Canis lupus familiaris: one gene and its partner. The protein of the gene in region 1 interacts with the protein of each later gene in a pairwise test. Links are inferred from orthologs where the notes say so. Each region holds a gene or a part of one and is shown on either strand. Other genes may lie near its edges.

Region 1 (3,823 bases):
GGGACTTGATCCCAGGACCCCAGGATCATGCCCTGGGCCGAAGGCAGAAGGTCAACCACTGAGCCACCCAGGCACCCCTCAAAATTTTAAGACTGTAGTGAATGACAGGAGTAACACCTTTGTGCTCACTAGCATCGTCAAGGCTTGTCTCAAGTCAGTGCTTGTAGTTTTCCAGTTTTGGAGGAGCAGAACGTCTTCAGAAGTGGAAGTGATGGAAGCACCTGACGGATGCCAAGCCCTTGATGTGTTACTTTTCTTTGTAGCTCTCCAGTGAAGAAGCCAAGTCTTCTAAAGACCCATCAGTTTGAAGGAGACCCTTTTGACTCGGGCTCTGAGGGCTCTGAAGGTCTTGGGCCATGTGTATCATCCCTTAGCACCCTGATAGGTACCGTGGCTGAGACTTCTGAGGAGAAATACCGCCTGCTTGACCAGAGGGACAGGATCATGCGGCAAGGTATGGTGGGCACATCTCAGCTGTGGTCCAGGAACCTGGCTGAGGTCATGATAAGGTCACTCCGGGAGCTGTGAGGAGGGAGCAACCCTGCCCGTGGGGTCCACTGTCCTTGAGTCTCTGGGCCCTCCAGTGCCCCGCCTATTATGTGCTATTTACTAGTTTCCTAAGGGGCTGGGTGTAGATGTGGACATAATGCAGATATGTCTTTTTTTTATATTTGGAAGAAAATCCATAAACTATTGATCTGTGCTAAATTAAACTTTTTTTTTTTTTTTTTTTTAATTTATGATAGTCACACACAGAGAGAGAGAGAGAGAGAGGCAGAGACACAGGCAGAGGGAGAAGCAGGCTCCATGCACTGGGAGCCCGATGTGGGATTTGATCCCGGGTCTCCACGATTGCGCCCTGGGCCAAAGGCAGGCGCCAAACTGCTGTGCCACCCAGGGATCCCAAAATTAAACATTTTAAAGGGTAATTTTTAGACAGAAAGCACATTTTTTTTTTTTTTTTATTTGGTTATTCATGAGAGACACAAGCAGAGGGAGAAGCAGGCTCCCTGTGAGGAGGCTGATGTGGGTCTCGATCCCGGGACCCCAGGATCACGCCCTGGGCTGAAGGCAGACACTCAACCACTGAGCCACCCAGGCGCCCCCAGAAAGCACATATTAAACAAATCTGTTTGAAAGAAATCTCCATAAATAAAACTTAAGAAATGCAACCCAGGGTAAAAATTGGTAATTCCTTTCAGAAAGGGCTGATTTCCCTAATATAGAAAGTTCTGTGGAAGTTACTGTGGAAAAGACCAGCCCAATTGAGAAACGATTAGAGGGTCAGCAGGGTTACAGAAAAGGAAGTATACTTGACCCTTGACCAACACAAAGGCAGGAGCAGGAACACCGTCCCCCTTGTAGTCAAAAATCCACATATAACTTTTGACTCCCCCAAAACTTAACTGCTAATAACCTGCTGGTGACTCACGTATAACACAGCATGTGTTTTGTTTGTTATATGTATCACGTCTTGCATTCCTGCAATACATTAAGCTAGGGAGAAGAAAATGTTATGAAAATACATGTACAGTGCTGTAAAAAAAAAAAAATCTGTGTACCACGGGACCTGTGCAGTTGAAACCTGTGTTCAAGGGTCAACTGTGTCGTGAATTGGCTTTTAAACATATGGGAAGGTGCTCACCCCGTCATACAGAGTGATGCCAGTTACACCCCAGAGGTGGCCTTTGCCCCCTTGTGCCGTGCTGCCCTGTCCTTGGGCCGGCCGTGGACGGCTGCACTCCTTTGGAAGAGGGCAGGTCTGCGGTATCTTTCAGCCTTAGGGAAGTCTGCCTTTGACCCAGCATTCATCCAGTGTCTGTCCCACACGCGGTCCTGCGTGTGTGTTTCACAGAAAAGCTTGTTTGTGACGACAAAGATTGGGAACTGACTGTCCACGTAGCAGGATTCTAAACAGTCTGAAAGAAGACTGGGGTTTCTTTATGGAAAAAAAATGAAGATTTATTGTGAAGTGGAAGATCATAGTGTGGAAGTATGTAGTATGCCACCGTTCGTATATAAATAAAGGGGGAAGCGTGTGTCTGTACATACACGAGCGTACCTGCCTGCGGGTACATGCGATAGTCCTGGGGTATGAAAAGATATGTTCACGTTGACTCAGAGCGGGGAGCAAGGTGGGGAGGGGTTCTATTTTGACATTTTTATACCTTTCAAATATGACCCATCTGAATATATTACCTCTTCAAAAAATATTCTGTTACCTTTAAAAAAATGTGTGCAGTGACCATGAATAAAGGTATTTGTGCTTTTCTTTGCGAAGTTTCTTTTAAATTATATTTTAGCTGTAGGATTTTCTTCTTTTAGAATATGTGAATAAGTGGAATAATCACAGTGCTTCCTTAATATGGTAGTAAGAGCTGCTGTCATACGTTATCACTGTCATACGTTATCATACATACATTATATCAACATGGTGATTTTTATATTCCAAATAAAATTAGTGGGTATTGAAATTTCCCAAAATAAAAATAAGCTGTGTGTATTTTGAGCCTGAAGTTGTTGTATTTCATCTCACTTAAAAGATAACTTGTAACTATTTAATTTTATGGGAAGTGGCAGTGGTTTAATCAGGACCAAGGTGTTTGCTGTTATAGTAGTAATGGGATAAAAGAGAACCAATGCAGTACTTTTAGAGCACTAGTGTGTTTGGAATATTTACAATTAGCAAATTGATCTTAACAAACACACTGCAGCACGGTTGTTCATTGTTGAGTTGCTACAAAGCCTTGGACAGCGATGCGTGCCGCCCTGCCAGCATGCAGTGCAGACCTGTGGCTGTTGCGAGGGGACGGGGCCTTTGGGTGCCCTGCTACCTGACGTTATAGGCCATACTGCCCTTTCTCTACTGGTGCTTTACTTCGTCTTTTGTGTATGGCATTTGCTTTCATTTTTCCTTTTATCGTCATAGTAATTGTGTTACACATTTTTACTTGTCATTTAGCTCGAGTGAAAAGAACCGACCTGGACAAAGCGAGGACTTTCGTTGGGACATGCCCAGATATGTGTCCTGAGAAGGAGCGGTACATGCGGGAGACCCGGAGCCAGCTGAGTGTGTTTGAAGTGGTCCCAGGGACTGACCAGGTGAAGCCCCCTGACCTCTCTAGGCTGCCGTCCATATTTAATCTTCAGGGTGGAGGTGGGATATATATAGGGGCAGGTGGACGTAGTATTCTTTGTACTTTCTGTACATATTGATACTTGATTTGGGTGTTTACGTTTGTAGAGGGTGGCAGGGATTTAGAGTGTGGCTACCGTGAATGTTCATACTAAATTGTTCTGTGAGGTGTGTACTAAACAATCTTGTGTAAGGTGACTGACCCCATGGTGCTCTGAGGTATAGATGTAGATATAGATTTGTTTCATAGATTAAAAGTTTCTTTTCTTTTTTTCACAAATTTAGTCCTACCTTTTCTGTTTGTGTTTTGACAGTTGAGATTATTCTCTAGATGCAATTGTGTGTGAATCCTTTTCACTTAAAATTATGAACATTTTCTTTTCTGATAAACTCAGCCTCTTTTAAATGAAAGTATATTGTTTGATTATGTAGCTCTATCAAAACTTCCCATTTTGCAATCACTAGATAGGCTATTTCTAATATTTACATTTCATTAATAATCCTATTGGGCATATTATGTGTAGTGAGTCTGAAGTAGATAGATTATTTCCTTCTGATAGATCCTAAGAATTAAACTACTACATCAGAGGGTGTGACCTTCCTTGAGATTCCTGAAGATGTGTGTGCCTATGCGTGTTCCTAAATTGTTTCCTGAGAAATCTGTACCACTTTAGATCCTTTTCCTCT
Region 2 (3,823 bases), on another chromosome or scaffold:
CCCTCCTCGTGATCCAGTGCAAAGATAAAAGGTGTCCTACGCCAAACACAACCCTAACAAATCCATCCCCACCCTCAAATTCCTAAAAGATGCTCAGACCTTGGAACGAGTTTTACTGAACTTCTTGATCTTGGCTATATCCTCAGCAGAGAATGAAGGCTGAACGTCCTTGCTCATTTGCTTCACATTACAGGCAATCAGGATAGTCCTGGGACAAAGATAGGAATAAGAGGAAGCCTGCAGTTTTCAAATCCTAACATCAGAGCCAATAGCAATTTGGAAAACAATAAAGAAAAAAGACAAATTGTTCTGAATTCAGCAACTGACTAATCTTAGTCTGTGACACAAATATGCTGATAATTCTTCACCTCGGAATTTATCCTCTGCTGCCACACAGATCTTCGGACAGAAGTGTGGATGAGACGGAGGTGGGAATATGTGAACTCCCAGGTAAGCCATGAGGCTATGACCATGTTACCAGTAACTCCCACTTTTAGCATAAGATACTATTACCAGTTTTATCTGATGAAAAAGAGGTATCCCATCTCCCATGCAGCAAGGTTGTTCCACCTGTCTGTTGTGATGCTCCAGAATATGGCAAAATTGGAGCAAGAATACTACCAGAAATGCAAGCTGCCAGCAGCATGTCAAATACCTCACAACTGCCCCTTTACCTGAAGGTCCCTGAGGTGTAGCCTCCCTTCTTTCCCGGAAGGCAACGGTAGGTCCCCACCACCTGGACTCGGTCACCAGGCTTCACTTTATCTACCAAGTCATCATCCAGAATGACATCCACAGAGCGGGGAAGTTGGCCTGCTGGGGCCTTCTCCGGCATCTCCTGGATGGTGATGGTCTGATGGTCCTTGTAGACAGAAAGGCCATATTCGGTCTCAAGGGGATTGTTTTCCTCGTCCTGAAACAGACACACAGAAAAGCATCATTATCTCACCCCAGTCTTAGAAATGCCATACTCACTTTTTTGTTTTTAAAGATTTTTTTTTTTTTTTTTAATTCATGAGAGACAGAGAGAGACAGAGAGAGAGACAGAGAGAGGCAGAGAGAGAAGCAGGCTCTCTGCCTGGGAGAGGCAGGGAGCCCGATGTGGGACTCAGTCCAGGGACTCCAGGATCACTCCCTGGGCCGAAGGCAGGCGCTCAACTGCTGAGCCACCCAGGCATCCCCGTACTCATTTTTTATAGGAAGCAAATATAATTTGGAAATGACCTCCGGAGATTTTAGTATCTAGGAACAAAAAAAGCCAAATGTCTTCTCCAGTTTTTTTCCATTCCCATCTGTTATAGTAACAAATCATCTAATGGAAGGGACAACTATATCCTAAAGGAACCATGGCTCTATTAACACCTAAATTAAGATTCCTGTTCCCCCTATACTATGGCACAGTATTTCCCACTCCTAGGTAATACCCAACAGAAACATCTATCCAAAGCCACATACTACAATGTTCATAGCAATATTATTCCCAATAGCCAAAAATTAGAAAATATCCAAATGCCATCAACAGAATGGTTAAATAAATGTGGTATATCCACCAAAAAAAAAATACTATACAGTGATGAAAAGATATAAAATACACCTATAACAGCATGGATGAATCTCAAAAACATCTGATGAACAAAGGAAGCCCAATATATGAGTATTTAGATAAAATATAAAAGCAGGCAAAAGTACTCCATGTTGCTAGATATCAGAATAGGGTTAACATTTGGGAGTGTGGGTCCTCAAATATCTGAGTGCTAGGAAGGTACTGTTTCCTGGTTTGGATGCTGATTTTATAGGTATATATTTAGTGTATACTTATATAAACTTTCCTGTATGTATATTAAACTTTAGTAAAAACATTTTAAACTTTGACTTGCTTGCTATTTGAATTTTCTAAAAACAAAACAGCTGTCACTTATTGAGTGCTTACTATGTAGATGGCATTGTGCTGTTATTTATGAGATGATCTCATGTAATCATCCCAACTACTCAGTAAAGCAGATATTTTTCACATTAACAAATAAGGAAACTGAAGCTGGCAAGGTTTAAGTAAGTTCCCCAAGTCACATAGGAAATTGCAGAACCAGAACTCGAGACAAGTCTAACTCCAAAGCCATATTCTTCAGTACCACACTAGACGACCTCCAGGAGTCCAACGTATTTCAAGTATTGAGCAAAGAAGCCTGGCCCCTGTAATCATCAGAAGAGTACTCTCTGAGTACTTATGAAGACACTCTAGAAGGAGGGATCTTAATGAAAAAGAGGATGACTTAAAAAAGGCAAATGGCCTGAAAGTAAAAGGACATGAATCCTAGCCCTTAGGGTCATCACTAACTGGAACCATGTGCAAGTCACTTAACCTCTCTGAATTTCAGCGTTTCACCTGCAGATAGACTCAATGATTCTAAAGTATGCTTTAGTTATAATTCTAAGATACTCATTTTTGTTTTATGTTAAGATTCCTGCACCAATTGAGTTGAAAATAAGAACTGGGTCTCATTCGTATTTGTATCCTCCACAGTGCTTAACAATTATTTGGATACAGTGGCTCTCAATTAAAATTTGACGGCAGGGACAGGTATTCTTTGATAGAATGAATTCAGATAAGTATCCAACATTAATCATCTTGTCTCATTAAGAAAGCCTCCCATTGTTCTCAGTTCAGGCCAATCTGAACACTTAAGTAAAAAGCCATTCCCAATGCCATTCTTCTCCCAAACCCAAAGTAAAATATCTGCAAAGATTTCATGGTAACATTATAGCATAAACACTCTCCCATATTACTTTAGGTAGATGATAAAGTTATATATAACCCTGCTAAAAGATCAATGTAGATTAGTGTCTTTTTTCAATCCTTCTATAATTTGCCAGGTTTTCTAAAGTGAATCTTTATTCTCTTTAAAAAAAAAAAAAAAGAATTGAAGACTTTCCATATTAAACTCTAGCTAGCAATCAATCTTTCCTTTAGATTAATCCTTACTTTTCATCTGATTTACTTCTAGAAGACTTCAGATATCAATTATTTGCATTAAAACAGACATCTTTGATTCCAACTTCCCAAGAACCCCAAGTAATTCATTCCCCTCACCTTAGTGGGATAGACAGAGCTGGAAGGAAAAGCCACCAGGGTGGTGAGATCAGAATAACGTCGCTCTATAGTCTTCTTGGTAGCGGGGCAGTAGTGGACACTGCGGACGACTTTGGGACGAACTAGAGAGCCTAGCAAAGGAACACATGCATATAAAGTCATGCAACTAGACAGCAACAGAGGTGGAACTTGACCCAGGCAAGTCTATCTTGATTCTAAATACTGTGTTCTTCTGACTAGTTTAAGCTACTTCCATAATATTTGTTTTATTCATTTTTATATTTAGAACATCAACATTTCTATATAAAACCTCAAGTACAACCAATCCTGACCAAGAAATAATAGTTCAGAGTTAAGAATGAGGAGATTGCCAAGGGCCGAAACTCCCCTACGCTCAGCAGAATTCACCATTCTGGACCCCCTCATCACTGTATATGCTCACAGCTGCTTCCAGCTCCCCTCTGTCAGTTTAAGGCCCTACACTACCTAGCTCTACTCAGTAGCTCTATCTTCCTGCTTTCCCAGCCCTCTAAGTCTATCCCACCTCCGTTCCCTTGGCCCCACTTGAAGCCACTCACACTTAGTGACAATGCCCTCCACACAGACTACACAGCTGAGGAAGCAGGAGGTAAGAGTCCGAGGAGAGACATGCTTGGAGCCAAAGCTGCCCTCCAATCCTATGTAGAACTCCTCATACTGCTTGGCATAGGTAGCATCAATGGAGGCCACAAAATC

The links.
Region 2: the proteins of MCM3AP (region 1) and MCM3 interact in a two-hybrid assay, tested with the Homo sapiens proteins (2 studies listed by BioGRID). The link is inferred for Canis lupus familiaris from reciprocal best matches to the Homo sapiens genes MCM3AP and MCM3.

Annotation. Positions count from the first base shown.
Region 1 is NC_049252.1:39,531,392-39,535,214, reverse strand, and holds part of MCM3AP (germinal-center associated nuclear protein), read left to right. Parts: intron 1-263; coding exon 264-454; intron 455-2,962; coding exon 2,963-3,102; intron 3,103-3,823.
Region 2 is NC_049233.1:20,185,106-20,188,928, forward strand, and holds part of MCM3 (DNA replication licensing factor MCM3), read right to left. Parts: coding exon 3,667-3,823; intron 3,220-3,666; coding exon 3,089-3,219; intron 914-3,088; coding exon 675-913; intron 209-674; coding exon 100-208; intron 1-99. UniProt on the Homo sapiens protein: Acts as a component of the MCM2-7 complex (MCM complex) which is the replicative helicase essential for 'once per cell cycle' DNA replication initiation and elongation in eukaryotic cells.